5 linked regions of the Macaca fascicularis genome follow. The protein of the gene in region 2 interacts with the protein of the main gene of each other region in a pairwise test. Links are inferred from orthologs where the notes say so. Each region holds a gene or a part of one and is shown on either strand. Other genes may lie near its edges.

What was found.
Region 1: the proteins of NUPR1 (region 2) and RAN interact in a two-hybrid assay, tested with the Homo sapiens proteins (2 studies listed by BioGRID and IntAct). The link is inferred for Macaca fascicularis from reciprocal best matches to the Homo sapiens genes NUPR1 and RAN.
Region 3: the proteins of NUPR1 (region 2) and MPHOSPH6 interact in a two-hybrid assay, tested with the Homo sapiens proteins (2 studies listed by BioGRID and IntAct). The link is inferred for Macaca fascicularis from reciprocal best matches to the Homo sapiens genes NUPR1 and MPHOSPH6.
Region 4: the proteins of NUPR1 (region 2) and STX18 interact in a two-hybrid assay, tested with the Homo sapiens proteins (2 studies listed by BioGRID and IntAct). The link is inferred for Macaca fascicularis from reciprocal best matches to the Homo sapiens genes NUPR1 and STX18.
Region 5: the proteins of NUPR1 (region 2) and KNSTRN interact in a two-hybrid assay, tested with the Homo sapiens proteins (2 studies listed by BioGRID and IntAct). The link is inferred for Macaca fascicularis from reciprocal best matches to the Homo sapiens genes NUPR1 and KNSTRN.

The regions. Positions count from the first base shown.
Region 1 is NC_088385.1:137,991,758-137,997,401, forward strand, and holds the end of RAN (GTP-binding nuclear protein Ran), read left to right. Parts: intron 1-1,109; coding exon 1,110-1,297; intron 1,298-2,194; coding exon 2,195-2,365; intron 2,366-2,464; coding exon 2,465-2,509; 3' UTR 2,510-4,250; downstream 4,251-5,644. UniProt on the Homo sapiens protein: GTPase involved in nucleocytoplasmic transport, participating both to the import and the export from the nucleus of proteins and RNAs. Switches between a cytoplasmic GDP- and a nuclear GTP-bound state by nucleotide exchange and GTP hydrolysis.
Region 2 is NC_088394.1:27,792,953-27,798,763, reverse strand, and holds NUPR1 (nuclear protein 1), read left to right. Parts: upstream 1-2,857; 5' UTR 2,858-2,937; coding exon 2,938-3,049; intron 3,050-3,650; coding exon 3,651-3,841; 3' UTR 3,842-3,854; intron 3,855-4,184; 3' UTR 4,185-4,489; downstream 4,490-5,811. UniProt on the Homo sapiens protein: Transcription regulator that converts stress signals into a program of gene expression that empowers cells with resistance to the stress induced by a change in their microenvironment.
Region 3 is NC_088394.1:78,049,259-78,055,839, reverse strand, and holds the start of MPHOSPH6 (M-phase phosphoprotein 6), read left to right. Parts: upstream 1-2,032; 5' UTR 2,033-2,034; coding exon 2,035-2,166; intron 2,167-2,455; exon of another isoform or gene 2,456-2,577; intron 2,578-4,264; exon of another isoform or gene 4,265-4,319; coding exon of another isoform or gene 4,320-4,322; intron 4,323-6,581. UniProt on the Homo sapiens protein: RNA-binding protein that associates with the RNA exosome complex. Involved in the 3'-processing of the 7S pre-RNA to the mature 5.8S rRNA and play a role in recruiting the RNA exosome complex to pre-rRNA; this function may include C1D.
Region 4 is NC_088379.1:8,632,062-8,638,114, reverse strand, and holds part of STX18 (syntaxin-18), read right to left. Parts: intron 4,119-6,053; coding exon 4,060-4,118; intron 2,501-4,059; coding exon 2,431-2,500; intron 1-2,430. UniProt on the Homo sapiens protein: Syntaxin that may be involved in targeting and fusion of Golgi-derived retrograde transport vesicles with the ER.
Region 5 is NC_088381.1:16,881,324-16,887,376, forward strand, and holds part of KNSTRN (small kinetochore-associated protein), read left to right. Parts: intron 1-1,981; coding exon 1,982-2,114; intron 2,115-2,787; coding exon 2,788-2,835; intron 2,836-4,938; coding exon 4,939-5,044; intron 5,045-5,273; coding exon 5,274-5,367; intron 5,368-6,053. UniProt on the Homo sapiens protein: Essential component of the mitotic spindle required for faithful chromosome segregation and progression into anaphase.

The sequences.
Region 1 (5,644 bases), on a different chromosome or scaffold from region 2:
AGTATTTGAAAACTTAGGTTCTTGTGTGTAGTTTGGTGTGGCGATCAATGAATATTTCTAGTCCATTACAAAGCAACACCAGATACTAGACCAGAGGAGATAGGAGGTCTTAACAAGTGTTATACAAGACTAGCCAATTTCTTGTTAAATTGTTTGTAGTAAGTTGTGCAGAGTATTTTTCTCAAATAGTTTGATTTAAAAATCTCAAGGAAAATGTTCATTGTACCAAAAAGAGAGGAATAAACAAAATACTCATCTCTCCTGGAACCTCACGTTGCTAATAACACATTATCTGGAATCATTCCATGCCTTTTGCTCTCCTTGAACATGTACATATAAACACAAGAATTTCCCCCCCAAAAAATCCTTTAACCAAAAAGTTGTGGTTTCTTGCCTTACTAACTGTACCATAGTTATTCCTGCAGGTGAGTATATAGACTTTATCTGGGTTATTTAATTTTTTTTTTTTTTTGAGACAGGGTCTTGCTTTGTTGCCCAACCTGGAGTGCAGCTTCCGCCTCCTAAGCCTCAGCCTCCTGAGTAGCTGGGACTACAGGCACCTGCCACTATGCCTGACTAATTTTTGTATTTTTTTTTGTAGGGATGGGGATTCACCATGTTGCCCATGCTGGTCTGGAACTCATGAGCTCAGGTGATCCACCCACCTCAGCCTCTCAAAGTGCTGGGATTACAGGCATGAGCCACATCGCTTGGCCTATTTGGAATTTTTAAGACAGGAATGATATTTCCTAGTATAGTCGGCCATTTAAAGACTTTCTGAAGACTATTTCCAGGCCCTACCCTCAGAATATGGCAGCTTGGTTCTCCAGAATCTCACTTGGCATTAATTACTTCAGATAGTGTTTTGGGGATGAGGGGAGTATTAATGGTGAAGTTTATCAGGGAGATTTGATAGAATCAGCTCATCTTTCTTAGGAAGAGTTCTGTGTTAATGTTCTTAGAATTGAAAGAGACTTTGAAAGTGAGGGGAGAGATCTAGGTGCCTCGTTGAGGTCTAAGACTATAGTTGAATCCTAGTCTGCGGTTCTTAGCATTCTTCACTTGTGTGGTAAACTGAGTGTACTAATTACCGCAACTGTTTCTTTCAGCCCAGTGTGCCATCATCATGTTTGACGTAACATCGAGAGTTACTTACAAGAACGTGCCTAACTGGCATAGAGATCTGGTGCGAGTGTGTGAAAACATCCCCATTGTGTTGTGTGGTAACAAAGTGGACATTAAGGACAGGAAAGTGAAGGCGAAATCCATTGTCTTCCACCGAAAGAAGAATCTTCAGGTGTGTAAAATTAAAACTTCCTGAGTTATTTCTCTTAGCGGAGATTGTATGTAAGACCATGAAATTGACCAGTGTCTATTATATATGGAAATGATTTTTTTTCTCCCAAGATGGAGTCCCGCTCTGTCCCCCAGGCTGGAGTGCAGTGACGCAATCTGGGCTCACTGCGACCTCCGCCTCCCGGGTTCAAGCAGTTCTCCTGTCTCAGCTCCCCTAGTAGCTGGATTAAAGGCATGTACCACCACGCCTGGCTAATTTTTGTACTTTTTTTTTTTTTTTTTTTAGTAGAGACGGGGTTTCACCATGTTGGTCAGGCTGATCTCCAACTCCTGACCTTAAGTGATCCACTTGCCTCGGCCTCCTGAAGTGCTGGGATTACAGGCATGAGCCACTGTGCTGGCAGGAAATAATTTTGTCTTTTTTTATACTATTGTTTTTAAAGAATGATAGAGATGGGGTTTCACTGTTGTCCGGGTTGGTCAACTGAGATACGTGTGTGTATTTATATATTCTTTGTTTTTTGAGACAGGGTCTTGCCCTGTTGCCCTGGCGGGAGTGCAGTGGCATGAACATAGCTCACTGCAGCCTTGAACTCCTGGGCTCAAGCAGTCCTCCCACTTCAGCCTTCTGAGTAGCTGGGACCACAGGCATTCAAGACCATGCCCACCTAATTTGTTTTTTTGTAGAAATGGGATCTTGCTCTGTTGCCCAGGCCTGATCTTGTACTATTGGCCTCAGGCAATCCTCCCACCTCAGCCCCCCCCCAAAGTGCTGGGATTACAGGCATGAGCCACCATGCCTTGCCAAGAATCTTAACATTTTCTTGTCTTGCCATGTCCTAGAAAAATCGTCATCTTAATGAATTTTAAAAGGTAAAAATTATTTTCTTTTAAACAGTACTATGACATTTCTGCCAAAAGTAACTACAACTTTGAAAAGCCCTTCCTCTGGCTCGCTAGGAAGCTCATTGGAGACCCTAACTTGGAATTTGTTGCCATGCCTGCTCTTGCCCCACCGGAAGTTGTCATGGACCCAGCTTTGGCAGCGCAGTATGAGCACGACTTAGAGGTATTACGGCCACTTTGCTGTCTAGGCTATAACGTTTGACTTGTATATTCCTGGCAGTTTTGATCTGGAGTGTTAACATTTTTTCATCTCTTCGTCTAGGTTGCTCAGACAACTGCTCTCCCGGATGAGGATGATGACCTGTGAGAATGGAGCTGGAGCCCAGCGTCAGAAGTCTAGTTTTATAGGCAGCTGTCCTGTGATGTCAGCGGTGCAGCGTGTGTGCCACCTCATTATTATCTAGCTAAGCGGAACATGTGCTTCATCTGTGGGATGCTGAAGGAGATGAGTGGGCTTCGGAGTGAATGTGGCAGTTTAAAAAATACCTTCATTGTTTGGACCTGCATATTTAGTTGTTTTGGAACGCAGTTGATTCCTTGAGTTTCAAATATAAGACTGCTACAGTCACATCACAATATTCAGTGGTGAAATCTTGTTTTGTTACTGTCATTCCCATTCCTTTTCGTTTAGAATCAGAATAAAGTTGTATTTCAAATATCTAAGCAAGTGAACTCATCCCTTGTTTATAAATAGCATTTGGAAATCGCTAAAATAGGGAAATTTTATGCCATGTTAATATTTGAATTGCCTTGCTATTATCGCTTAATTTGAAATCTATTGGGTTAATTTCTCCCTATGTCTACTTTTTATTTTTGTACATTTGAGCCATGTCGCACAAACTGATTATGGCAGATCAGCAGTATTCTATTTGGTTAGAAGGGTCACATGGTGTAAATATTAGTGCAGTTAAGCTAAAGCAATGTTTGCTCCACCTTCATTTTGGCTAGGTAGGGTCACCTAGGGAAGAACTTGCTCAAAATTTGTGACCTGTCAGAATAAAAAATAATGTGGTTTGTATATATGAAATAGATATTTTAAGGGTAATACTTTTGTTTTATGGCAAAAGTAATCATGTTTTAATGTAGAACTTCAAACAGGATGGAATATCAGTGGATGGCAGGAGCTTGGGAATTCTTGCTGTTAAGTACAAATTTTGCACTTTTTGAATGTTAGATGCTTAGTGTAAAGTTGATACGCAAGGAAAATGGTCCATGTTTACCCACGGTTTTCAGGTACTCCCGGACTTTAAAGATGTCTTGGACATTAAGTTCTTAAGCAGTACACACTACACCGTTTATTTTTTTTTTTCCTCCTAAGGATTTTTTTGTAGGGCAGCACAGCAGAGCAGGACATGGATGAAATACTAGGAATACGCATAGTGGGGCAGTGTGGGGGCTTCTCAGCAATGGAGAACAGTTGGTGAAACCTTTATTTTTATCAAACTAAGCATTTAATCTTGTATATTTCCCACATTTAAAAATGAATTAGGTCTCTATCCTAATTAGGATTTGATCCCATCAACACTATTGTAGCAGTTAGGAATCTTAAGAGCTATTTTTTTTTCATACAATTACTATAGTCCAGTTTACCAAAGTTTTCTTTAGATGTCTGATTATCTTGAGGTGATTACTTACCTTAAAAGGTATAGAAAGGATCACTTACATATATGGAAAAATGAAACAAGGGTGAAGCTGAATAAAGTTCTACTTACTGTATTAACTGGCAACAGTTGAGTTTCTTAAGATCTGAATTGCTGTGTATGTTACGCTGTATTCAGAACCAGTTTCTAACCAGCCTGTGAGATGGGAAGTTTTTTTCCCATAATTGGGATGAAACCTTTCATTCAGATATTTTGAATTGAAGGTGTATGTGTTGTTTGTAACCTTGTGTAGATTGCAAGTGGTGTTGACATTCTGGATCTTCTATGTAACAGTTGAAATTTGGAAGTGACGTCGCTTACCTGTCTAACATGGTGTGGGAGAGAATTTACAAGTCATTTATTGAAAGAATAATTGTTGCAAAATATATTGCTTCGACTTTGCCTGGATTTTTTGAATCATCTGTAGTATTTGCTTTAGGAAATACTGACTAGTTAGCAGAGATTATTATCTTTTATGTGGGGGGTGGGGTGGGGAAGGGGTCATTTCTCTCCAGATTGTACATATGGGAAAAGTTGGCTCTCCCTTTTTTGAAATCTAATGAAAGCTTTATACGAAGTTACTGCAAACTAGTAATAGCTTATTCGAGCAACGTCATTAAGAAAAAGCATAGTTAACGCATGGGTCTTGTGTGGATATAATGTGAAACATTGGTAAATTAGCGGGCAAAATGTTGGAGAGCAGTTTCAATTTGTGTGAGAGCCAGTTTTTTTTTTTTTTTAAACCCATATAGAATTTTTTTTTTTTTTTTAATCATAAAATGTCTGGAAAAGATGAGACTCCAAAATAACCTCCAAAGAGGACTGGTTTCCTGGCTAACTGTTCACCTGAAGGAACTCAAGTACAGAGAATTTCTGGTTTCTTCTGCAAAAACATCAGGAACACAAAAAATTACCCGCTGAGCAAATGGGGTGAGGGTTGGATTCAGCTTTTCTTGCTGGCAAACTGACACATCGTGTATGATGCTTTCTGCCACGTTGGGGCTGTGCAGGGCTGTCCTGCCCAGCAGGATAACGTGAGACTAAGCTCTCCCTGTGTGAGGCAGACCTTGTACTAGGACAGCAGCCATCCTAACTCCCTGCAGCACCTTTTACCCTTGAAGCCTAGGGCATGTTGGGGAGAAACCGCACCTCAGCACGGAAACCTTATCTTTAGTTAAGGGGTCAGAGTCCAATTCAAAAAACATCTGATGCATCTCTCTTGCTCCACATTTCCTACAAGGTCTTGCAAGCTCTGGTGACACGTGCATCCTGAGATCACACACCTGTGTGCATACTGCTTTTCAGAACTCCCCCTTACCTCTCCTGAAGTCAGTCCTACCAGTTAATGCTTTACCTGCTTTAGAATTCACTCACTGGTTTTTACCTTAAGTGAGTCAGATGTCCGACTACAGACATCACAGATTGCTCTCAGCCCTAGTCAGCATGGCAAATTTGCAATTGCGACTTTCCCTTCCTAGTCTAATTGCCACCGGGGCAAGGGCCATGTCACTGCTTTTTCATGTCCCTAGTGTTTACTAAATGTTCTATGGGAACCTGAAGGAACAGAGAACTTGGGGGTTAGAGAGAGAGTGGGATTGATGGAGGTGGGTGGAGAGGAGCTGGGAGAACTTTATACACCATTAGGTCTGACTATTCCGAAGTCATGCTGGTATTTCCTTCCCGAGGTTTGTAGCTTATACTCTCTTTTTAGTTTTTTAGATTAATTTATTTTTATTTATTTATTTACTTTTTTAGAGTCTCTCTCTCCCAGGCTGGAGTGCAGTGGCGCGATCTCAGCTTAC
Region 2 (5,811 bases):
ATGGAGAATACAATATGTCAGGCAAGATTCCTGCCCCAAGAATAATGATAATTAAAATAGCAAGCATTTATTGCACACTGATTATCTTCTAGGCACTGCATTAAGCCTTTTCTTTTTTTTTTTTGAGACCAAGTCTCACTCTGTCATTCAGGCTGGAGTGCAGTGGCACGATGTCGGCTCACCGCTACCTCTGCCTCCTGGGTTCAAGCGATTCTCCTGCCTCAGCCTCCTGAGTAGCTGGGATTACAGGCGCCCGCCACCACGCCTAGCTAATTTTTGTACTTTTAGTAGAGACAGAGTTTCACCATCTTGGCTAGGCTGCTCTCAAACTCCTGATCTCATGATCCACCCACCTCGGCCTCCCAAAGTGCTGGGATTACAGGTGTGAGCCACCGTGCCCGACCCTGGCCTTCTTTTCTTTTTCTTTTTGGAGTGCAGTGGCACGATCATAGCTCACTGCAGCCTCGAACTCCTGGCCTCAAGTGATCCTTCCACCTCACCCTCTCAAACAGTGGGTTTGCAGGTGTGCCTCACCTTACCCAGCCTAGGTGCCATTAACTCCATTGTCTAGATGAGTAAACAAACGTGGAGGCTAGGCTTGTCTAAGGGCACACAGCTAACTAGGGGGTAGAACCAAGCTTTAGACCCGGGAAGCCCTGTTCCAGAGCTTACTCCTTTAACCATTAACTAAACTAAACCAGTGGGGACAAATAATGGAGAAGTAAACAATAAAAAAGATACTGGCCGGGTGGCTCACGCCTGTAATTCCAGCACTTTGGGAGGCCAAGGCGGGCGGATCACCTGAGGTCAGGAGTTCGAGACCAGCCTGGGCAACATGGTGAAAGCCCGTCTCTACTGAAAATATAAAAATTAGCCAGGCGTGGTGGCACATGCCTGTAATTCCAGCTACTTGGGAGGTTGAGGCAGGAGAATCACTTGAACCCCTGGAGGTGGAGGTTGCAGTGAGCCGAGATCACACCACTGCACTCCAGCCTGGCGACAGAGCGAGACTCCGTCTCAAAAAAAAAAAAAGAAAAAAGAAAAACCAACCAAACAAAAAAAGACGGAGTCTTGCTCTATTGCCCAAGCTGGCCTTGAATTCCCAGTTTCAAGCAATCTTCCCAGCTTACCCTCCCAGAGCCCTGGAATTACAGGCATGAGCGACCACACTAGGCCAATCTTTGCTTAATTTAATATTATTTTCCTCTTTCTCTGATCACCTGGTCTGTTATTATTGCCCCAACCTTGTTTTCATTAAAGTATCCTGTCTTCACTTTCATTTCCTGGATGTTAAGCAACTCATACATCATCTAAATCTGGGAAAACAAAGGCTAAATTCAATTCCAGCTCAGGCAAGGGAGAAACACAAGCAGAAGTTCAGCTTTTTGTGTTTTTGTTTTTGTTTTCAGACACAGTCTCTTTCTGTCGCTGAGGCTGGAGTATAGCAGCTCGATCTTGGCTCACTGCAACCTCTGCCTCCCAGGTTCAAGCTATTCTCCTGCCTCAGCCTCCTGAGTGGCTGGGACTACCGGCACTTGCCACCACACCCGGCTAATTTTTTTATTTTTAGTAGAGATGTGATTTCGCCATGTTGGCCAGGCTGGTCTTGAACCCCTAACTTCAGGTGATCCACCTGCCTTGTGGATCTCCCAAAGTGCTGGGACTACAGGCGTGAGCCACTGCGCTTGACCTCATTATGTCTTCTGCCTCAGTATAATCCATATTTTGAAATACATATTTTGAAATACATAATATTTTATAATAATTTGTTTTTGAGACAGGGTCTCTCTCTGTCACCAGGCACTGTGGCAAGTTTCTTGCAAACATTATCTCATTTGATCCTCTCCCCAACTCTAGGAAGAAGATACAATTATTATCATCCTTGTTTTACAGAATTGGAAACCAAGGCACAGAGAGGTAAAGGGACCCACCTAAGGTCACACGGAAAGTGGTGGGTCAGGGGATTGAACCGAGGGCATCTGGCTCCAGACCCTGAACTCTCCAACCCTCTGCCGCCCTCCTCCTAGGTGAGGGAGATTACATTACTGGGGACCCTGTTTCAGGATATGAAGGGGTTTTCCAAGATGTTTCTCATAGAAAAAAAAAAAGGGTGTGGCTAATGCCCATAATCCCAGCACTTTGGGAGGCTGAGGCAGGCAGATCACTTGAGATCACAAGTTCGACACCAGCCTGGCCAACATGGTGAAACCCCATCTCTACTAAAAATACAAAAATTACCCAGGCGTGGTGGCAGGTGCCTATAATCCCAGCTACTGGGGAGGCTGAGCCAGGAGAATTGCTTAAACCCAGGAGGAGGAGATTGCAGTGAGCCGAGATCATACCACTGCACTCCAGACAGGCGACAGAGACTCCATCTCAAAAAAAAAAAAAAAAAGAAGAAAACAAGATGTTGAGTGTGACTGGGTGGAAGCCGCTGACTTGTCCCTGGCACAAGTGTGCTGATATCCCCTCCCCCTCCTTCCTCACATCCTGCATCTCAGCGAGAATTGGCGTGCTGGGGTTAGCTGTGTGGCCATCACCCCAGGCCCAGGTGAAGCCCTCGATCAGGTGAGGCCATGATCCCAAGGAGTGTTTAAGCTCAGATCCTGCCTCTTCCCTGCTTTCTGCCGAGAAGCGGGACCTCCTCTGTGGAAAATATCCAGCTGGGCGAGCCTGGGAGGCAGGAGGTGAGTGGGGCCGGACTCAGGGACCAACTCTTCCCGTCTCATGACTGTGTTTACTGGGCTGGATTTTGAGAAGGGGCCAGATTGCATCAGACAGGGCCTAATGGGCTGGAGCCAGACTGTGGTCTGAGGAGGAGACACAGCCTTATAAGCTGAGGGAGTGGACTGGGAGTGGAGAGGCACGGGGCCAGGAAAGCAGAGAAAGACAAAGCGTTAGGAGAAGAAGACAGGCAGGGAGGACAAGCCAGGCACGATGGCCACCTTCCCACCAGCAACCAGCGCCCCCCAGCAGCCCCGAGGCCCAGAGGACGAGGACCCCAGCCTGGATGAATCTGACCTCTACAGCCTGGCCCATTCCTACCTGGGTAAGGCCCACTCGGCCATCTCCACGGTCCTTCCTCCTCTCCCGAAATCAGGACCCCTCCATAGACTTCGCACCCTCTCCTTTCCTCTCCTCTCCTTTCCTTTCCTCTTCGTTTCTTTCTTTCTTTCTTTTTTTTTTTTTTTTTTGAGAGAGTCACTCTGTCACCCAGGCTGGAGTGCAGCTGTGTGATCACAACTCACCGCAGCCCCAAACTCCTGGGCTCGAGTGATCCTCCTGCTTCAGTCTCCCGAGTAGCTGGAACTTCAGGTGTGCACCACCTGTAGTGGTGAGGTGGGGTCTCACTATGTTGCCCAGGCTGATGTCAAATTCCTGGGCTCAAGCAGTTCTCCTGTCTTGGCCTCCTAAAGCACTGAGATTACAGGAGTGAGCCACCCTGCCCAGCCCACTCACCGTTTTCTAGCCAACGTGTTCCTTGGACCCTCACGTCACCCCTGTCTAGTCCCTTATCCCAAGAGTGCTGTGTTACTCAGCCTGGGATCTCACACACATCTGGGGTCCCACATTCCACAGAGGGGAAGCAGCAGAATTCCCCCTGCTCTTCCCATCCCCGCAACTCCAACCCCCTGCCTCTCCTCTGACAGGGCGTCTCATCGTGCCTTTGCCCACTTCACCTCTGCCTCCTGCCTTGGTTACAGGAGGTGGAGGCCGGAAAGGTCGCACCAAGAGAGAAGCTGCTGCCAACACCAACCGCCCCAGCCCTGGCGGGCACGAGAGGAAACTGGTGACCAAGCTGCAGAATTCAGAGAGGAAGAAGCGAGGGGCACGACGCTGAGACAGAGCTGGAGGTAAGGAGTCGGGGGGCCCAGAGAGCTCAAGGTGGCGCCTCTGCCATGAAGGACAGCCGGAAGGTGCGCGGTTGGGTGGGGAGGAGGGATCAGACAACTGTTATCTCAATGCAGAATAAAATGAGACACACGTTTGGCTGTTTTCTAGCGGCCAGAGCAAAGGGGAACACAGAACCTTTCCAATTGGAGGGAAATTTGACTTACAGAGACAGAAACTGAGGCTGGAGAGGGTGGGTCCTTCCCTGTAGTCACAAATCAATTAAGTGGGAGAGGCAGAATTAGAACCCAGATCTCTGTCCCTTTCATCACCTGCTTTTCCTCGCCCCCTAGATGAGGCCGGACCATGGACACTACACCCAGCAATGGAGACAGGACTGCGGAGGAAGGAAGAACCAAGACAGGATCCAGGCCAGCTTGCCACACCCCCCACCCCTGGGACTTATCCCCGCTGACTGAGTCTCTGAGGGGCTACCAGGAAAGCACCTCCAACCCCAGCAAAAGTGCAAGATGGGGAGTGAGAGGAAGGGAATGGAGAGGCAGAGCCAGGAAGATACCCCCAGAAAAGAAAGCTACAGAAGAAGCTGGGGCTCCTCTAGGGCAGCAGCACCAATAAATAGACGCGCACGGCAGCCACAGCTTGGGTGTGTTTTCATCCTTGCTCTTTCTGTGTTTTTGTTCGGGCACGTATGTGCCTGCCTGTGCCTGCACATGCATGAGCCCGGGAGAGCATCTTTGGTGTGTATTAGTGTTTGGTATATGTATCTGGGGCAGGGAGTATTCCTGCTCTTACAGGGGTCTACGCTGTGAATATGGCTTTTGGTTCGTTTGTTTTTGCTTGCATATATTTTAGTGCATACATTTTTCTGTGGGCTCCTACATAGTGGAAAACAATTTCTTCTGCTTTTTTGCGATACTGCCCATGAAACACGGCCCTCCCCAGCGCCTGTTTTTGTTGATTATGTCCTGTTCATAGACGGGAATGCTACTTATGGATGCCATCTAAAAGATGGAGAAAACTGAGATTTAAAATATTAAAGGCCAGGGCCAGGCGCAGTGGCTCATGCCTGTAATCTCAACACTTTGGGAGGCTGAGGCAGGCGGATCACAAGGTCAGGAGTTTGAGAATAGCCTGACCAACATGGTGAAACCCCGTCTCTCTAAAAATACCAAAAATTAGCCAAGCATGGTGGTGCACGCCTGTAATCCCAGTTACTCAGGAGGCTGAGGCAGTAGAATCACTTGAACCTGGGAGGTGGAAGTTGCAGTGAGCCGAGATCATGCCATTGCACCCCAGCCTGGGTGACAGAAGGATATTCTGTCTCAAAAAAAAAAAAAAAAAAAACTAAAGTCCGGGAGCAGTGGCTCATGCCTGAAATCACAGCACTTTAGGAGGCTGAGGTGGGAGGATCACCTGAGCCTAGGAGTTCGAGACCAGCCTGAGCATCATAGCAAGACCTCATCTCTACACATTTTTTTGTTGTTTTTTTTTTTTTTTTTTTTTTTTGATTCAGAGTCTCACTCTGTCGCTTAGGCTGGAGTGTAGTGGCATGATCTCGGCTCACTGCAACCTCCGCCTCCTGGGTTCAAGCCACTCTCCTGCCTCAGCCTCCTGAGTAGCTGGGACTACAGGCACCTGCCATCACGCCTGGCTAATTTTTGTATTTTTAGTAGAAACGGGGTTTCACCATGTTGGCCAGGATAGTTTCAATCTCCTGATCTCGTGATCTACCCGCCTCGGCCTCCCAAGGTGCTGGGATTACGGGTGTGAGCCACCACGCCCAGCCAATTTTTGTATTTTTAGTAGAGATGGGGTTTCACCATGTTGGCCAGGCTGGTCTCGAACTCCTGACCTCCAATGATCTGCCCACCTCAGCCTCCCAGCCTTTGGGGGGCCAAGGAGGGAGGACTGCTTGAGGCCAGGAGTTCAAGACCAGTCTGGGCAACATACCAAGACTCT
Region 3 (6,581 bases), about 50 Mb from region 2:
GGCGCGATCTCCGCTCACTGCAAGCCCCGCCGCCTCCCGGGTTATCGCCATTCTCCTGCCTCAGCCACCCTAGAAGCTGGGACTACAGGCGCCCGCCATCACGCCTGGCTAATTTTTTTGTATTTTCAGTAGACACGGGGTTTCACCGTGTTCGCCAGGATGGTCTCGATCTCCTGACCTCGTGATCCGTCCGCCTAGGCCTCCCAAAGTGCTGGGATTACAGGCGTGAGCCACCGCGCCCAGCCAGGGTCTTGTTTTAATCACCTCTTTAAAGGTTCTGTCTCCAAATACACTCACATTCTGAGGCACTGGGAGTTGGAACTTCAACATATGAATTTTGGGGGATGCAATGAGGCTTGTGATTAACCTCTACTGTTTCCACTTGTTAAACTTTATAACACCAGGGACTTTGTCTTGTTCATATTTCAGGACCTTTACCGTTGCTGCTGTCTTCGGAGCACACTACCTCCAACTCTTCATACAACAGGTTTTTCTCAACTTTCAAGCCTTAGCACCACCATCTGACAAGGGCCATTCCAGACCACCTTGTCTAAAGTAACCCTAAACGTTACTCTAGGGGTCACAACACTGTTTCCTCTATTTCACGGCAGTCACCACTTACTTATGTCCAGAATATCAGCTTCAGGAAAGATGAGGATAGGTGTTTTTACACGCTATTATACCCCGGCATCTCACACACAGTCACAAGTGAATAAGATTCTGTAGCCACTTAGTACATTACAATGATTTTATTTACTCCTGGGAAAACCTCAAGGGCTTTTAACATCCAAATCGGTGTTTGAATTTCAGCTCTAACATGGATTAGCTGTGTGAATTCCACCAAGTCCCTTACCCGCTCTGTGTCTCAGAATCCCTAACAACACGATGACAATACCTTCTTTCCGGTTCTTATGGAGATTAAGCGAACTAATTACCCATAAGGTGACCAGGTCAAGAATCTGACATAGAATCTATGCTATCAGCTGAAATGCTATTAGCTTGAGGGTGTTCCAAAGCGTCGGACCTGGGAATGATTTTTGAAAACGTGTTTAGTTGGTACCCAGAGCATTAAACACCAGGGTATGAATGCCACTCTATTTTCAGTGGTTTTTAAAATTCTTTTTTGTTTTGTTTTTGAAACAAAGGCTTGCTCTATAGCCCAAGGTGGTGTCCAGTGGTGGGATCTCAGCTCACTGCAGCCTCGACCTCCCGGGTTCCAGTGATTTTCCAGCCTCAGCCTCCCAAGTAATGGAGACCACAGGTCCGTGCCACCACACCCACCTATTTTTTTTTTTTTTTTTTTTGGTAGAGATAGGGTCTCACTATGTTGCCCAGGCTGGTCTTTTCAATTCTTTAGATCAAAACCAAGCCTTCTTCTCATTCAGGTGTCTTTGGCACCCATGCCTGCCTCCATCCCTTGCAGTTTCTTCAGATTCTTCTGTTTAGCAGGGATCACTCGGCCAGACACGCACCGGCAGCAGCCCGGGGATGAAGCCAGCCCGCCTGGGGTGGCCCCCGCCACGCTCCCCGGGACTCAGGGCTGCTGTAAGGAAAGCAGCAACTCGTAGGGTCCTGGTGAAGAGCAAACGACCTGGCCCCTGCACAGGGACCCAGAACACAGGAAGCCCGCCATCCACGTTAGGAAAACAATACACGTGGGTAACCAGACCCAGGCGGGTGGCACGCGTGACGCAAACCTGTGAGGCTGGCGAGGACTACTGAGTCTGAAGGGAGTCTCTGAGGAAGGGAGTCCCTGAGCGAGGATGGGTCCCCGAGGGGGCCAGGCCGACGTCCCGGGAAGGCGGCCCCCGGCTCGGGGAAGCCAGGCTCTGGATCCTCCTCTGACTTTGGCCTTTTTGGGATCTGCCGCGCTCATCCCCGCGCCACCGCGCCGCGCGCTTACCCCAGCCTCTCAGTCACCAGAGCGCCCGCTGAGTGGCCGCGCCGGCGCGCGACACGCAGCGGCGGGGCCGCGGGGCGGAGCGGGGCGGCGCGCTTTACGAGAGCGACGCAGCTGCGAACGCGGCTCCGCGCATGTGCAGTGAGGCTCGCGGCCGGAGTGCGGCGCTGGGCGGAAGCCACCATGGCGGCCGAGCGGAAGACAAAGTTGTCCAAGAATCTGCTGCGCATGAAGGTGCGGGGACACTGAGAGAGCCATGCCGGGCGGTAGGGGCACCCGATCGTTCCGACCTGGCCAGGGCCGAGGCGGCGGGCGAACGAGGGACACCAGAGGGGCCTCAGAGGGCTTCCAGCTCTCGTGCTCATTCATTCACTTAGCGCCTGGTCTGCACTGTTTACTGGGAACCGGGTTACGAATTAGGCCGACTCTCAGGAGGCCCACGGGTGGATGGGAGCTCGCATACACAGGAGCAAGCAGTCAGGGTACAGCTTACCAAGTGCAGTGAGGGTAGAAGCGCCGGAGCCCTGGGAACTCACCCAGCTTCTCGCGGGGTAGTGGTCCCTTTAGGTTCCTGGGAGGGTGGGAGGCACAGCGTCCTAAACTAGGAGAAACCTGAGTTCAGAAGTCCACGAGGCAAGAAAGAAAAAGAAAACCATGGAGATTTCCAAGAATGAGAGGTAATTCAGTATGTCTGGAAGGCAAGTACTAAGAAATGGGGTTGCAGAGTAGGCAGTGGTCACAACGTGCAGGAAATTTGAGGCCAGATTAAGGATATTTTCCTTTATTTTGTGAGCAATGGAAAGCTATTGACACGGGGAACAGTATAAAAAAATAGCAACTATTTATAGTACTAGACAATGTTTTAAGGGGTTTGCGTATATTAACCTGTGCAATTCACATAATGACACTTTGAGGTGACTACAGGCAATAACTCTCTTTTTACAGTTAAGGCAACTGAAACAGAAATAAGTAACTTACTCAAAGTCGCACAGCTAATAAGTAGTGTAGACAGGACGGGAACTCAGGCAGTCTTGCTCCAGAACCCTGGCTCTGTGTTACTTACTCTGTGATGCCTGTCACTGAGCACTACTTATAGAGGGTAGCAAACTGTTACATGTCATGTTTAAAGAGGTCGAATTTCCAAAAGAAGGAAGGAAGCGTTCATAATGTTTTGAAAGATTGGAGAGAGAGGCCATTCGCAGTGGTTCATGCCTGTAATCTCAGCACTTTGAGAGGCTGAGGTAGACAAATCGCTTAAGCCCAGGTGTTTTAAGACCAGCCTGGGCAACATGGTGAAACCTCATCTCTACAAAAGATACAAAATATTCGTTGGGCCTTGTGGCACGCACCTGTAGTCCCAGCTATTTGGGAGGCTGAAGTGGGAGGATCACTTGAGCCTGGGAGATCGAGGCTGCAGAGAGCTGAGATGGTGCCACTGCACTCCAGCCTGGGTGACAGAGGGAGACCCTGTCTCAAAAAAAAAAGAGAGTAAACATTACATGGGCAAGATTTGAATGGAGTTGAGCTAGGATGGAATTAGGAATGAATGGGTGAATGAGGATGCAGGACAAATTACATCTAACTTAGAGTTTGTCAAGCACTTTCATGCATATTAGGAAAATTTGAATCTTTACTGAACAGAGTTTGCTTTTGATTTTATGATTTGTAATAACATTAATTTCAGAGAAGTGGAGTGAACTGACCAAGCAGATATTGAAAAGATTTTAGCAGTTGTTTTAGCTCTTGGAATAAGCCAGATGATGTACTGGGTGACTCAGGCTCAAACTAAATATCTGAGTTGCAACTAAGAAGGAAGAAATTAACTTAAAACAAGTGTCCACTCCCACCAAATGGGGAGACGCAACTGGACATTGGAAGCAAAGGAGAAGGAAAAAGATCACCCAGATTCTGTATTTGGTTTAGCAGTTTTGGTCATTGATGAGAAAAAACTTACTGGCAAGATAGCAGGAGACACTATCTATACTGATAGAAAAGAGTATACTGTGAGAAGGCATGGAACAGCTGCACTTAGGGTGCCTTAACCAGAGCTAAGTCCTATATAACATGGGTCCCCAACCACTAGGCCACGGAGCAGCACCAGTCCATGACCTGTTAGGAACGGGCTGCTCAACAGGAGGCGAGCAGCAGGCAGCAAGCGAGTGAAGCTTCATCTATATTTACAGCTGCTCCCCATAGCTTGCATTACCACCTGAGCTCCGCCTCCTGCCAGATCAGTGGCAGAATCCTAGATTCTCCTAGGATCAAAAACCCTACCGTGAACTGCACCTATGAAGGATCTACCTTGAGCTCTACTTATGAGAATCTAATACCTGATGATCTGTCGTTGTCTCCCATCACACACAGATGAGACTGTCTAGTTTCAGGAAAACAAGCTCAGGGCTTCCACTGATTCTACATTATGGTGAGTTGTATAATTATTTCGTTACATATTATAATAATAGAAACAAAGTGCGCAATAAATGTAATGCACTTGAATCATCCCTAAACCATCTACCCCTCCCCTCTCCACCACCCATGGAAAAATTGTCTTCCAGGAAACCCATCCCTGGGGACCACTTTTTAGGGCAAGTATGAGAGGGTTGAGGATTTAATCCTGACTCACTTGAAGGCCTCTGACTTGGTCAGCCATTGCAGGATGATCCCGATGGGAAGCAGAAAAAGAAAGATGTGGATGGAAGGTCTTCCAGTATGGAATGGTTGTAGAAAGGGTGCTTATTTGTGATTTTAGTACTGTTAGACTTTTAGAACAGGGCTTGGCAAGCTTTCTGTAAAAGACCATATAATAAATATTTTGGGCTTATGAGCCAGACAGTCTCTGTTACAACTACTCAGCTCTGCCAGTGTTGTTTGGGACAGGATGACCATGGCTGTATCAACAACAACGGACATCTAGCCTGAGGACCATATTGTGCTGTTGCCTGCTGTGAGTCCCCACTGGTTTTGGAGTGTGTTCTGAAATGCCCTAGAGTAGGAGAATCGAACTTCTACCTAAGTCTGGAGGTGCTTGATTCATATTCACAGGGAGTTCTATCCTTTCTGTGTGTACAGAACATATGTATATGGCTATTTTGTATACCAAAGGAATAGGTACATGACTAAATAGGAGAAATAAGGGCAGTTGGGTGGTATTGATGAGTTTTACCACGAGGCATATTAGTGATGAAATGAGGTATATGCACTTAAAAAAAACCATCCCAGAAAGAGAGTCTGGAAAAATAAGACAAGTCTAGGTTCATTTACATTCAGAGAACCTTCATTGAGTGAGCTCTTGTGTACCAAGGGTGCCGCCTAAGTACCAATGATACAAGATGAACAAGAGTCATGGTCTATTCAGAATCATAGTCTTGGGAGACACCAAAGCAGCATGATGGTGAACAATAATCCAGTGTTTATCAGGCTGTCTTGGGAAGGTGCTTCTTTATAGGAGCAGGCCTGGGAAGAGCCAAGCCAAATGCCAGCCAGGGAAGTCTTACCAAAGGACACATGCTGTGGGCCTAAAAGAGTAAATATTTTGCCAGACAGAAAATGGAAACATGTTGTTAAGTCGCAAAGGCAAAAGGACCGGGAAATATAGTGTGCACGTTCCAGAAACTACAGTTCTTTCCTGGGATGAGGATATAGGCACAGGTAAAATGGATGAGGACTGCAAAACACTAGTCTGCAAACTTGTTTTCTTTTACTTTTTATTTAAAATAGTGATAGATTCACAGGAAGTTGCAAAAAGTATACAGGGATATCCCGTGCATCCTTCATGCCACCTCCCCCAGCGGCAACATTTTATAACACTAGAATACAATAAAGAGCCAGGACATTGACAGCGAGCTTACTCAGATTTCACCATTTTACATGCGCTCACTTTGCGTGGACAGTTGCTGGGTCATATGGTAAGTGTATGTTTAGTTTGCTAAGAAACTGCCACGCTGTTTTCCACAGTGGCTGTACCATTTACTTTCCTACCAACAATGTTTGAGTGCAGTTTCTTCACACTATCATCAGTGCTTGATGTTATCACAGTCATGTGGTACTTAACAACAGGGATACATTCTGAAACATGCATTGTTAGGTGATTACATCATTGTGAGAGCATCATAGAGTTCACCTACACAAACCTGGATGGGGTAGCCTACCACACACCTAGGCTGTATGGTACAGCCTGATGTTCGTAGGCTACAAACCTGTACGGCATGCTACTGTACTAAATACTGTAGGCAGTTGTAACAGTGGTATCTGTGTATCTAAACATATCTAGATATACAAAAGTTACAGTAAAAGTGCAGTATTGTAATCTTATGGGACCACCATCATATATGGGTTCCATCATTGACCAAACATCATTTTGCAGCACATGACTATTTTATTCATGAACATTCTTAAGGTTTTTTTCATTTAACTTAGTAGTCATTGTTAAAGCCCTTACGCCTAAAGAGGCTTATGTTTGGAAGAGCTGGAATAGAAGGAGAAGAAATATGGGACCTGGGCCGGGCGCAGTGGCTCACGCCTGTAATCCCAGCACTTTGGGAGGCCGAGGCAGGTGGATCACAAGGTCAGGAGTTCGAGACCAGCCCGGCCAATATGGTGAAACCCCCGTCTCTACTAAAAATATAAAAATTAGCTGGGCATTGTGGCAGGCACGTAATCCCCGCTACTCGGGAGCTGAGGC
Region 4 (6,053 bases), on a different chromosome or scaffold from region 2:
TTCAGATTTTGGAGCACTTAGGATTTCACGTTTTGGATTTTAAGTTTAGGGATGCTTGACCTATACAGCAACTTCCTCCTCCCCGAAGCATATATCATGACAAGAACAGCAGCCGTCAGCAAGGGCAAACGGCTTTACTTGCACAGCCACAAACCCTCACAGCACCCCAAGAAGTAGGTATTACCCCTATTTTCTGAAAGGGAAACTCACGGCTCAGAGAAGTTTACTAACTTGACCAAAGTCATGTCACATAGCAACCAAGTGGCAGGACTGAGATGAGACTTTTTTTTTTTTTTGAGACAGGGCTTAAATGATCCTCCCACTTCAGCCTCCCAAGTAGCTGGGAGTATGGGCATGCGCCACCACACCTAGCTAAATCTTAAAACTTTCTTGTAGAGATGGGGGTCTCCCTATGTTGCCCAGGCTGGTCTTGAACTCTTGAGCTCATGCCATGCTCCCGCCTTGGTCTCCCAAAGTGCTGGGATTACAGGCGTGAGTCACCGTGCAGGGCTGAGACCCCATCTTGTTGCAGTGCTCCTTCCACTGCACCTACCATCCCTCCTGTGCCACTTGCTGATGACAGGGACAAAAACCTAAGAGCTACTGTTTGTGGAGCAGCCACCATATGCCAGAGGTTTCCCTTCTAGTCTCTCATTTCTTTCTGAAGTCCACAGAAGTAAGCTTTAACATATATGTGTTTCGAAATACATATGCTAGCTTCAAAAACAGTGCTTTGTGTTTTACAATTATATCTTTAAAAAAACAGGCTAAATTTTAAAATCAGAATAGGATGCAGAATGCTTACATAAAACGTTTACTCCAAACAAAGCCTCGGAAAGCTTGAGGAGTGTGGGATCCTGGTCTAACAAGGGGGCGTCTGGCCCCGCAGGAGCAGCAACGGTGCTAGACGGCCTTATGAGCAGGAGTGCCTGCTTCTCTCCTCCTTTTGGCGGTGGTGAAGCTGCTTCCTAACACGGTCGGGTGGAATGAATGCTAGTGTGGGTTTTTAGAGAAACCTGACACATTTTAGGGAGGAAGGCAGCCTCTGGCCTCTATTCCCAGCAATGAATATTACCGAGATGGCTTTGCCCTGTCATCACCCCATTTTAGAGAATCTCGAAGTGTGAGCTAAGTGACCACTGCCAAGGTTCCAATGAGAGAATCAATATGAACTACAATGTAACACTGATGAAAAAAACAAGAAACACATATCGTTCCTCAGGACTTAGAAACTCCTGGTGGGCCGGGCCTGGTGGCTCATGCCTGTAATCCCAGCACTTTGGGAGGCCGAGACGGGTGGATCACCTGAAGTCAGGAGTTCGGGATCAGCCTGGCCAAGATGGTGAAACCCCGTCTCTACTAAACATACCAAAATTAGCCAGGCGTGGTGGCATGCCTGTAATCCCAGCTACTCGGGAGGCTGACTGAGGCAGGAGAATCGCTTGAACCCAGGAGGAGGTTGCAGTGAGCCAAGATCACAACACCACTCCAGCCTGGGTGACACAGCGAGACTCCGTCTCCAAAAAAAATAAAAAAAAATAAAAAAAGAAACTCCTGGTGAGCCAAGGCAAGGCTCTGCCTGTGCTCTGCACACCCCTTCCAGGCCCCCTGCAGCCGCTGGGAGGTTTGAAGCAGGGTAGTGTTATTCAAAAGAGCAACTCCTATGAACCCGAACTTCCAAACTGCTGTTAGACTTAATGTACCTCATTTACAATGATTTCACTCTGGCTGTGTGGTTTATGGAAAGTCATTTTGAGAGAAGTATTTTAAGTTAAGTAGTTTAACATACTAAGACAAAACGTTCCCATTGTCTTTGGGTGCTAAAAAGAAAAGGGCAAATTTATTAGGTCACTAAAAGTTTTGCCAGTTATTGGCTGGAAGAATTTCAGAAAATTGACTTGAAAAGAACAATCCTATTTCCCATGCAGGCACCATCCCTGAGGCGGCATGGACCTCGCACTGTGAGAGGCCTGGGCCTGAGCTCCTGTAACTCTACTGACAGAAAAGCAACTGCCCGTCAGCATCGTTCTGTAGTTCTCTCTCAAATGGAGAACAACCCTGCAGGGGTCACTCCAATCTATAGATGGAAACTGTTGCCTGGCCGGGCTACCTAGCTCACCCAGCACATCCAGAACCCTGACTGCCAGGCCTGGACTCTCCTCCCACATGCCACTGCATGCGCCACCACACGGCGTGGTCAGTGGGGCCAGTGGATCCCCTGTGGGGAGCTCCTCCTCCGTCACACGTGTGCAGAGGCAGCTCTGGGTAGTGAGAGCTTTGCCCTGAGGAGCTCTGCGCACGCACACCTGCTAGCAACACATGGCTCTGCTCCTGGCTGCGCAGAGCAGCAGCCTTTGGGAAAATGTCTCTCAAGTACATTCCCCTTTAAGTTAAAACGTACAGCTACTTTGTTTTTGTTTTTGTTTTTACCTGTTGCAAAACCTTTTCCGTGAATATCTCTTGGAGTCTGGAAATCTCAACCACTCTCCCTTCGATTTGCCTTCATAAAAAGAAGAATAGATTACATATTAACTATTAGTACTTGGTAATCTAACAGGACTGTTACACATTTCTAAAGAAATCCTGTCTTCTACATGAAGGTGGGAGAGACGGGGGAGCATACCATGTTGGCTGGGGGAAGAGATTGGAGAGGAAGGCAAACTCTCCTTACTGGGTCACCTTCCCTGTCTCCCGGTGTAGCCTAGCACGCTGGGCTTTTTGGAAGTCCACTCGACCATGCCAACTGAGCCCCAGTCCCAAGAGGTGGGTGTGGGCAGTGCCCTTTGCATTCTGTGTCACTGGTCAAGGACCGGGGAGGGTCTGGTTATGCCCCAGTTACAGAAAGCAGTCTCCAGTAAGTTCTCTGCCTAGCCTTGTCACCATGGTAACACATGGTGGGGATTCAGAAGGTCAGAATATGCTGATGATCCTGCTTTGTTACTGCTCAGCGGGTTAAAGAAAAAAGTGTATTTACCCTCAAACCAACTCCCTGTTCCAAGAAAAAAGCTCCTCTGATTCATTTAGAAAATGCCATGTCTTGGTTTGGCAATGGAGTGTTCTGTCGGATCGGAAACACTTGGGCTAGCCATCTTCCTGGTGTCAGGGGCAGCCTGGGCTACCCTGGGGGACAGGTGGGGGCCCATCTATTTACAAACGGAAGCTGGCCCAGGCTGAAGTTAACTGCTGTTCCAGCACAAAGCAGCGACAGGAAGTGGCAGGAGGCGAAAAGTGGTGGGAGCTGAGCTCCTGGCCAGGTGGAAGCAGACACGAATCCCAACAGTGTCACAGTGGCAGGAGGGCAGGGGAGGAGATGGGGGAAGAAAAGCCAGTGAGTATCTGGGCATGGGGGAGTAGCGGGGACGGACAGTGAAAGGTAGGCTGTTGGAGGAGGACTAGGAGGTCCATCTGAGGGCAGAAGGCGAAGAGCCCCTGGGAGGCTGACACCTACACTGAGAAAATCCTCAGGCTGTGTGAGTGCAGCATCAGGATTGATTTGATTTGGGGGACATGTCCACAATACAACAGGCTCTGCAAAGTCCCGGGCCTTACTTTCAGCATGCTGCAGGCCTTCCCACAGAAACTAGAGTTCAGTGGGTGCACGTGTGGGTGACCAAGGCCTTGCCTTCTGCATTCCTGACCCCCTGGGGGGTACAGGAGCAGGCAGACCCCAGTGGAGCCATTTGCAAAAGAGGGCTTCCCTTGGTCAGCTGTCCTTCACGAGGGCCCCATTTCATTTCAGAGTCGCTGCATGGAAACAGCCCAAATGGTGGTGGAAATTACACGCAGGTAATCTGCAGTCACTCCTGCATCTCTTGGGGTAGAAAGCATCTGGGCCCCCCGCAGCAGTGGCAGCAGGCGGGAGGTAACCCACAGGCCCACAGGCTGAGGGAGTTGTAGATTCAGGCCACATGCCCACCCCAGCCCTGTCAAAATGGCTGAGGGGGGCTGCACCAGCCCAGGGGCCCCATGTGGATGCCTGGGCACCAAGGTAAATAACGTTCCTAGTTCCTGGAAAGTTGTAAAGCAGGCTCTCAGCTCACAGAGGAGCCACAAACATACCTCACTTCATCAAACAAGCTGTTCATTTCACCAATGAGTCGCTGATTTTCCTGTTCAAACTGCGAGGAAACAAACACACTCAGGATGACATCATACTGAACTCAGGCAAGAGTCTAACAAGAATGCGGACCTGCGCTCCAGGAACCACTGGCAAAGCCCCCATTTCCAGCTGCAGCAACATGGTGGCCGGTGCCGGATGACCGAGAGCATTAGTGTGAACAACGCCCCTGCTTTCAGGAGAAACTTTTAAAACACAGCTGTGCTGCCTGGTAATCGACTTTTCCATCTCAACCACTGCACTCCAGGGGTGCAAGCTGACTGCTATGGCTGTAGCTGTATCTACTTATGCGCTCTCCCCTGGGCTCCCACGGCCAGCTTCCTGCCTCTGGTACCATTATTAAAAAAATTCTTTTGTTGTTGTTTTCTCTCATGAAGTATACTGAAGGACTACACATATTTTTTAATATGGAGAAGGATCTGGTGTGGGGAGGGTCTGGAGAGGAAGAGGGGGTCGGCAGCTTGGCCAATCTGCCCCTGGGCCCCTCTGACCTCAGAGCCATGCCCCTGGCCACTCCACTGCTCAACAGGGACAGAGGCCCAGAGCCAGACCAGCATGTTTCCCAGTGCTCAGGCTAGGTGAGGCCAGGTGCCCTGACACCAGGGATACATGGGAGCTTCTTGGAGCTGAGTGAGCTTGGCACAGATAGTTGCTCTCTCAGCCATTCTTGCCAGCTTGATATGGGCTAAAGAAAAGGATGGAAGCTCCTGAAACTCAGCACAGAGAATGGACAGGAACAAGGAACAGCTCCTTGCCCTCACCGCAGGCCCCCACAGCCCTGTCCTTGTGGGTCCATTCAACTCCCGGAATGTGCAGGGAGTCCGGGGCATCCTGCATTTCCTCCATGGCCCCACTTCTCCAGGAGACCTACCCGGGCCCCTAAGCTCAAACTTATTTCTCATATTCCTATTCCTGGCCTACCATTTTCTGAAAATATCTTCGGATAGTAGTCCCTTTCTGCCTTGTAATAAACTGCACATCCCAAACTTCCTGTGTCACTCTGAGCTTCCTGAGGGTGGGAACTGTGTGGAATGTAACTTTGCAAAGGCATTCCAGTTATTCTTTCTTTCATATCAATTAAAGCTGCCATCAAATCACAAATGTTTTCCGAGCATTCTGTAACAGGGGTTGGAGGAATAAATACAAGCAAGCCCCCAGAGGCTCCGAATCGACTGAAGATCGGGCTTATCACTTGCTTAGTAAACCAAAAATACAAGGGAAACAATGGTTATGGGAGGCAGCTGACCACCATGGGCTATGTTGGCGCTTCCTGCGCTGGGATGCACAGACTCATGCAACAGCCCGACCTTGTTCCCGTTGTCCTAGGGCGGAAATGAGTTGCAGGGCCTCCCCAGCAGTCTCCTTCCCACCCAGAACCCCTCCCCCCCAAGTACCCCAGCTGTGCTCTATGCAGGTGCTCTTCACACATGCGCCCCTTCCTAAGTCCACCAGTTTTGCCCCCACACATGCACTTGCTGTATTCAGCCCTTCCCCTACTGTCCACGTTCTACCCTCATCATTTCTCACTTGCCTCCAGCCTGTTATCCAATCCTTGGTCAAAGTGATCTCAAGTGCTGGTCATGCCAGAATGCCTCATGCTGGCCTTGCCCGTTGCCCCTACAGATCAGGTCTAAGGCACACTGTTATCCATGACCTGGCCACGTGACATCTCCCACCTCAGCTCTGCTCTGCACAGGCTAGCTTCCTGCCTGGCTGCAGAACTCCACGAGGTCCCTCAAAACCCCAGGCACCTTCCTAGCGATCTGATACCTCAGGGCAGACTGAATCACCTTCTTTTACTTCCTCACTCTTGTTACCAAGTTCCCCTGTACTTGGCTCTTCAAGGACATTTCTCACACTTGTTCAGGGACCTGTCTTCTCTCTGTGGAGGGCAGCTGTCCTCCTTTGGACCCTGAGCCCAGCCCAGGGCCTCACA
Region 5 (6,053 bases), on a different chromosome or scaffold from region 2:
ACATAAACCTTGGCAGGATTGAGCTCTGAAGTAAATAGGCTTTTCTCCAAAGGCTTAATGGGTTGTTTGTTGTCTTGTGTAGCCACAGAACACCTGAATGGTAATCCTGGCACCAGCGGGGACTAGGAGTTGCTGGAAGAACTGGAGCCAGGTCTCAGCTGCTTGCTGTGTCTTTCCCTTAGATGCAGTGCCCTCAGTCAGTGGGCAGTGACTAGCTCTCTCAGCCAAGCTGCGAGTGTTCATCTCTTGGGTTTACATCTCTGTCCCAGCTTTATGATCATATGTAACTGGAACAGTTTCAAATTTTTACACTGCCTCCCAGGTTTTTTGTTTTGATTTTGAGCATGGGCTGGATAAGTAATTTATGCACATGTAAAAAAAAAAAGTTGGAAAACCATATACAATGATAAACAAGTTTCCTTCCCTTCCTTGACACCAGCCATCCAGTTCCCCTCCCAGTGTCTCCCATTTTTAGGAGACAGCTTTGTGAAATCCTACTAAGTTTTTCTACATTGCAATCCTTAGGTTTTAGCAAATACGAATTATTGGAACCAATTCTAGTCAATGAAGAGTGTTAATTTTGATCAATCGACTGTTAATTCCATTTTACATGGAGTAGATTTGTTGTTTATAACTTGCTAATACTTGAGAGAGGAGAAGATGATATTTCTCCAAGGTTACTTTTTACTTCAGACAGACACCTCAAAAAGAACCCTTTTAATACCTCATTTGTACCGCATTTCTTCAATTTGATTTGATTGTAATGGCTCTTAAGTTAGGTCAAGCTTAAAGGGGCCATTTTACAGTGAACAAAGTGAGAATGAGTCCAGAAAAGCCTGCGTGTGAGGGTGGGGGTGCTTTTAACTCCAGATAAGTTACTTGAATTTGCTGTAGAACATGAATGATGGACTGTGTGGTTGGGGAGCTGGCACAAGGATGAAGGAAAATTCTCACCTTTGGGGAAGAAGAGTGTTATGGCAGGGCCATTTCTCTGGTTATCTGGCAAGAAGATCAGATTAGAATGCCTAATAGCGAAACTCTAAACTTAACGAAGGGTAAACGAAAGAGCTGGTGGTAGAGGCAGTCAGCATGGAAGAGGAAGGGACCAGACAGGTAGTTTAGAGATGGTCTGTGAAACAACCTATGCAACTGTGAAGTGTTTGATTTATTCAACAAGCAGTTATTGAACCCCTGTTCATATGCCAAATATTCTTCTAGGTGATGGGGACACAAAGATGTCTTAGAGTGGTTAGGAAGATATTCTGGGAAAAAGAACGAAGTAACAATTTAAAAAAACTCAGAGCAGCTCAGTCATGCCTTAGGAGAGTGTGCAGCGTGCTTGGAGTTGCTTAACGAGATGGTACAAGGATTCAGCCGTGTTTTACTTCCACCCTGCTCTCTGCTGGTGTCCATCTCCATGTTCACTTTTACAGCCTCCACCTTTCAGTTCAACGAAACTTTTGGCTACCCTCAAACACACTGTACTGTCCATTTAAAGAATTTTGGTTTTTATTGCCAATTAGCCTGGAAGTTTTATTCTTTTGAATTAATATCACATGTTGAAATTTGCCAGAATGAAAATAAAGATTTGGCCAGGCGTGGTGGCTCACGCCTGGGAGGCCACAGCAGGAGGATTGCTTGAACCCAGGAGTTCGAGGCCAGGCTGGGCAACATAGTGAAACCCTGTCTCTATTTTTTAAATTTTATTTTAAAACATATTTTAGGTGCCTGTAGTCCAGCTACTCAGGAGGCTGAGGCAGGAGAATCTCTTGAACCCAAGAGGCAGAGGTTGCAGTGAGCCAAGATCGCACCACTGTACTCCAGCCTGGGCCACAGAGCGAGACTCTGTCTCAAAAAATTAATAATATTTTTTAAAATACAGTAAAGATTTATGACAACTTAGAATGGGGCTCTGTTTGTTATAGGGTTGCAGCTGTCGGCTCACGATGCCAGAAGTTTTACCTCTCGTTTTCCTTTGCAGACACACAAACTCGGGCCACTTCTAAGAGTCTGTTACCTGTTAGGTCCAAAGAAGTCGATGTTTCCAAACAGCTTCATTCAGGAGGTCCAGAGAATGATGTTACAAAAATCACCAAACTGAGACGAGAGAATGGGTGAGAACGCATCATTAGTATCCAGTTAGAACATCTTCCTAGAAATTGATCAATACAAAGAATTAGAAAACAGGATTTTGGGGAATACAAGGCTCCTGAACAACTGGCCTTCAGTCAGTGGCCCAGAGCTATGCAGCATTCCTGAGCTCTTTGCCAGAACCCTCTGGGTTGATCTTTCTGAAGAGACACAGCCAGGGCTATGAGAGGTGTTCTTTCCTCTTTCATCGCTTGCTCTGAGGATACAAATGGCAGCACTGTAGTCATACGCCAACCCTGAGGGGTAGTCATGTGGGGTGGGGACTAGTTGTTACCCTAGGTTGCTGGTCTGACCACAGTCCAGCCCTAGCGTAGTGTGTGTGTGTGTCCCCAGCCAGCATTCAGTTCCCAGGTGAGTGAGGTTGACATGAGATAGCCACGCCATCTTGAGAGGAGCAGCTCTGTCAGGATGTTGGGGTGGTCGGGGTCATGCCCCGGTGCTACTAATAAGCCTTTTCAATAGTCTGTGCTGAAACAATAATGCATAGTCCCTCAGAGCTCTCAAGCTTGTGCCATTTGCCTTGTATGTCATCCCTGGTTCTTTCCTCAGAAACTCAAGTTCTTTGTTCTGCCTGTTCACTGCACACTTAACAGTACTATGAGTCTCTGATTCATTTCTTTGTTTCTGCCCTCCTAGGCAAATGAAAGCTACTGATACCACCACCAGAAGGAATGTCAGAAAAGGGTGAGCATCAGGGTAAATCAACTTGGCCACTGTTCTAGGGTAGTGGATCTCAATCCTTGTTTCTGCATCAGAATCACTCGTGGGACTTGTTTACTGTGTTAGGGTCTGGGTTCCACCTCAGGAACCTGCGTGGAATTTTCAGGGGTGAGGCACAGCTAGGTGTAAGAACCATTGTCAGTGCAAGAATCAGTGGTGCTACTATCTTGAGTCTCAAGCAAGAGCTTTTTGGACTCTACGCCAGGACCACTGTTGATCAGAAATCACACTTAGCTATGGCCCATCAACAGGAGGGTGAAGCCTTCAGGAGAGGAAGGGCTGCCTGTAGTTAGTGATCTCGAGATGAAGATTCTGGTGGTGGTGAAATCCGGGAGAGAAGGTTCATCTCTCATCTTTGAGGCTAGCTTCGAAGTTTTGCACTATCAGAAATAGAAATAATACGCTGAAAAGTCTGTACAAATAGGTTTTAGTTCCAGATCTATTATTTGGGCTTATCCTAAGAGTTTTGAAGATAGCAGGGCACAGTGGCTCATGCCTATAATCTCAACACTTTGGGAGGCCAAGGCTGGTGGATAACCTGAGGTTAGGAGTTCGAGTCCAGCCTGGGAAACATGATGAGACCCCATCTCTACTAAAAATACAAAAATTAGCCGGGCGTGGTGGCGCATGTCTATAATCCCAGCTACTCAGGAGGCTGAGGCGGGAGAATCACTTCATTCCCAGAGACAGAGGTTGCAGTGAGCCAAGATCACATCATTGCACTCCAGCCTAGGAGACAGAGCGAGACTCTGACTTAAAAAAATAAAAAAGTTTTGAAGACAAAATACTAGCAATAAAGACTGAGGCCAGGCGCGGTGGCTCAAGCCTTAATCCCAGCACTTTGGGAGGCCAGGACGGGCGGATCACGAGGTCAGGAGATTGAGACCATCCTGGCTAACACGGTGAAACCCCGTCTCTACTAAAAAGTACAAAAAACTAGCCGGGCGAGGTGGCGGGCGCCTGTAGTCCCAGCTACTCCGGAGGCTGAGGCAGGAGAATGGCGGAAACCCAGGAGGCGGAGCTTGCAGTGAGCTGAGATCTGGCCACTGCACTCCAGCCTGGGCGACAGTGGGAGACTCCATCTCAAAAAAACAAAACAAAACAAAAAAGACTGAGAACGTTAAGAAAAAACTCTAGGCCCGGCGCAGTGGCTGACGCCTGTAACCCCAGCACTTTGGGAGGCTGAAGCGGGCAGATCACAAGGTCAGGAGATCGAGACCATCCTGGCTAACATAGTGAAACCCCGTCTCTACTAAAAATACAAAAAATTAGCCGAGTGTGGTGACAGGTGCCTGTAGTCCCAGCTACTTGGGAGGCTGAGGTAGGAGAATGGCGTCAACCCGGGAGGCGGAGTTTGCAGTGAGCCCAGATAGCGCCACTGCACTCCAGCCTGGGCGACAGAGCGAGACTCCATCTCAAAAAAAAAAAAAAAAGAAAAAAGAAAAAACTCTAATATTGGTGATATTAGAGTTTATTAGATGATAAACATTATATTATTTTATTACATATCAGCCCAGCTACTGGGCTAAGAAATGCACATGGGTTTTCTCTCTTATTAATAATAATACTATGAGATGTAGGTATTGTCCTAATTGCCAAAATGAGGAAACAGGGCTTCAGGGAGCTTATGCAACTCACTGAAGGTCATAACCACTATGTAAATAGCCAGGATAGGAACAGGACGTGTTTGTGTAACTCTGTAGGCCATTTTTTTTTTTTTTTTTTTTTTTGAGACGGAGTTTTGCTCTTGTTGCCCAGGCTGGAGTGCAATGGTGCAATCTCAGCTCACACAGCCTCCACCTCCTAGGTTCAAGCGATTCTCTTGCCTCAACCTCCCAAATAACTGGGATTACAGGCATGCGCCACCACGCCCAGCTAATTTTTGTATTTGTAGTAGAGACAGGGTTTCTCCATGTTGGTCAGGCTGGTCTTGAACTCTTGACCTCAGGTGATCTGCCCACCTCAGCCTCCCAAAGTGCTGGGATTACAGGCGTGAGCTACTGCGCCTGGTGTAGGCCATGCTCTTAACCCTTTTGTCTTTTCATGTAAGTACAACTGTTATTACAGCTACAAACCACTGAGTAAGCAAAAATCAGAGGACGAGCTCAAGGACAAGAACCAGCTCTTAGAAGCCGTCAACAAGCAGTTGCACCAGAAGTTGACTGAAACTCAGGTAAGAGACCCACCAGAGCTCTGTTACCAGCTGCCACTGGGCAATGCACATGGAATCCTGATGGATGGCCCCTTGGGTGAGCAAGCTTGTTAATGCACAAATGCCCAAGGGCAGAAAAAAAAAAACAAAACAGGCTTTTGCTATGGCTGTCCAAGAGCAAGGGCAAGAAAGGGCGACCACCCCTAGGGATTGGGACAGTTCCTGATCTGTCTGTGCGGTGCTCCAACAGGGAGAGCTGAAGGACCTGACCCAAAAGGTAGAGCTGCTGGAGAAGTTTCGGGACAACTGTTTGGCAATTTTGGAGAGCAAGGGCCTTGATCCAGGTAAGAGATAGCACACAGCTAGCTGTCTTTGAAGGGATCAGTGCATGTGTCCCTTCCTGGGTTGATCTTGGCAGCATGGCATCAGCTGGCCCAGTAAGTGCAGGGGTTACTTCAGTAAAGCCCTAAAGATTTTGGAGGGCTTCTGTTTGTTTTCATGTGATGTTGATTTTTGCCTGGCCAATAGAATTTCAGAGGATTATATAGAGAGAAGGTTATCTCTTTCTTACCTGAACACTTTATGCCAACAGGTATGACCTTGCAAGTAGATGAGAAATATTTTGTTCCTTTCAAGGGAGAATATTTTCTGTCTCTTCCCATTTGGGAAAGTTACTAGTGTGCTTGAAAGGAACATTTTGTTTGAACATGTTCTTCCTCGCAAGCATACTAGTAACTTCTCAAATGGGAAGAGACAGAAAATACTACTTCAAGCATTCTTAAACCTGGCTAATCAGTAGAATTACAGTGACTAAAAAATGACTACTGTTACCCTGTCCCCCAGAGAGCAGAATCTGTAGCAAAGAGAGCAGTAGAAAGAATTGTCCAAAGACTGTAAGAGGGCCTCAGCCTGAGTCAAAGAGCTAGAGAATGCCCAGGAAATGGGCCCAGGCCTTTTTGTATTAAGGAATACTGACTTTGAATGTTACTGGTTAATCTTTAGGTTACAGGTGAGGATATTCTTTTTTTTT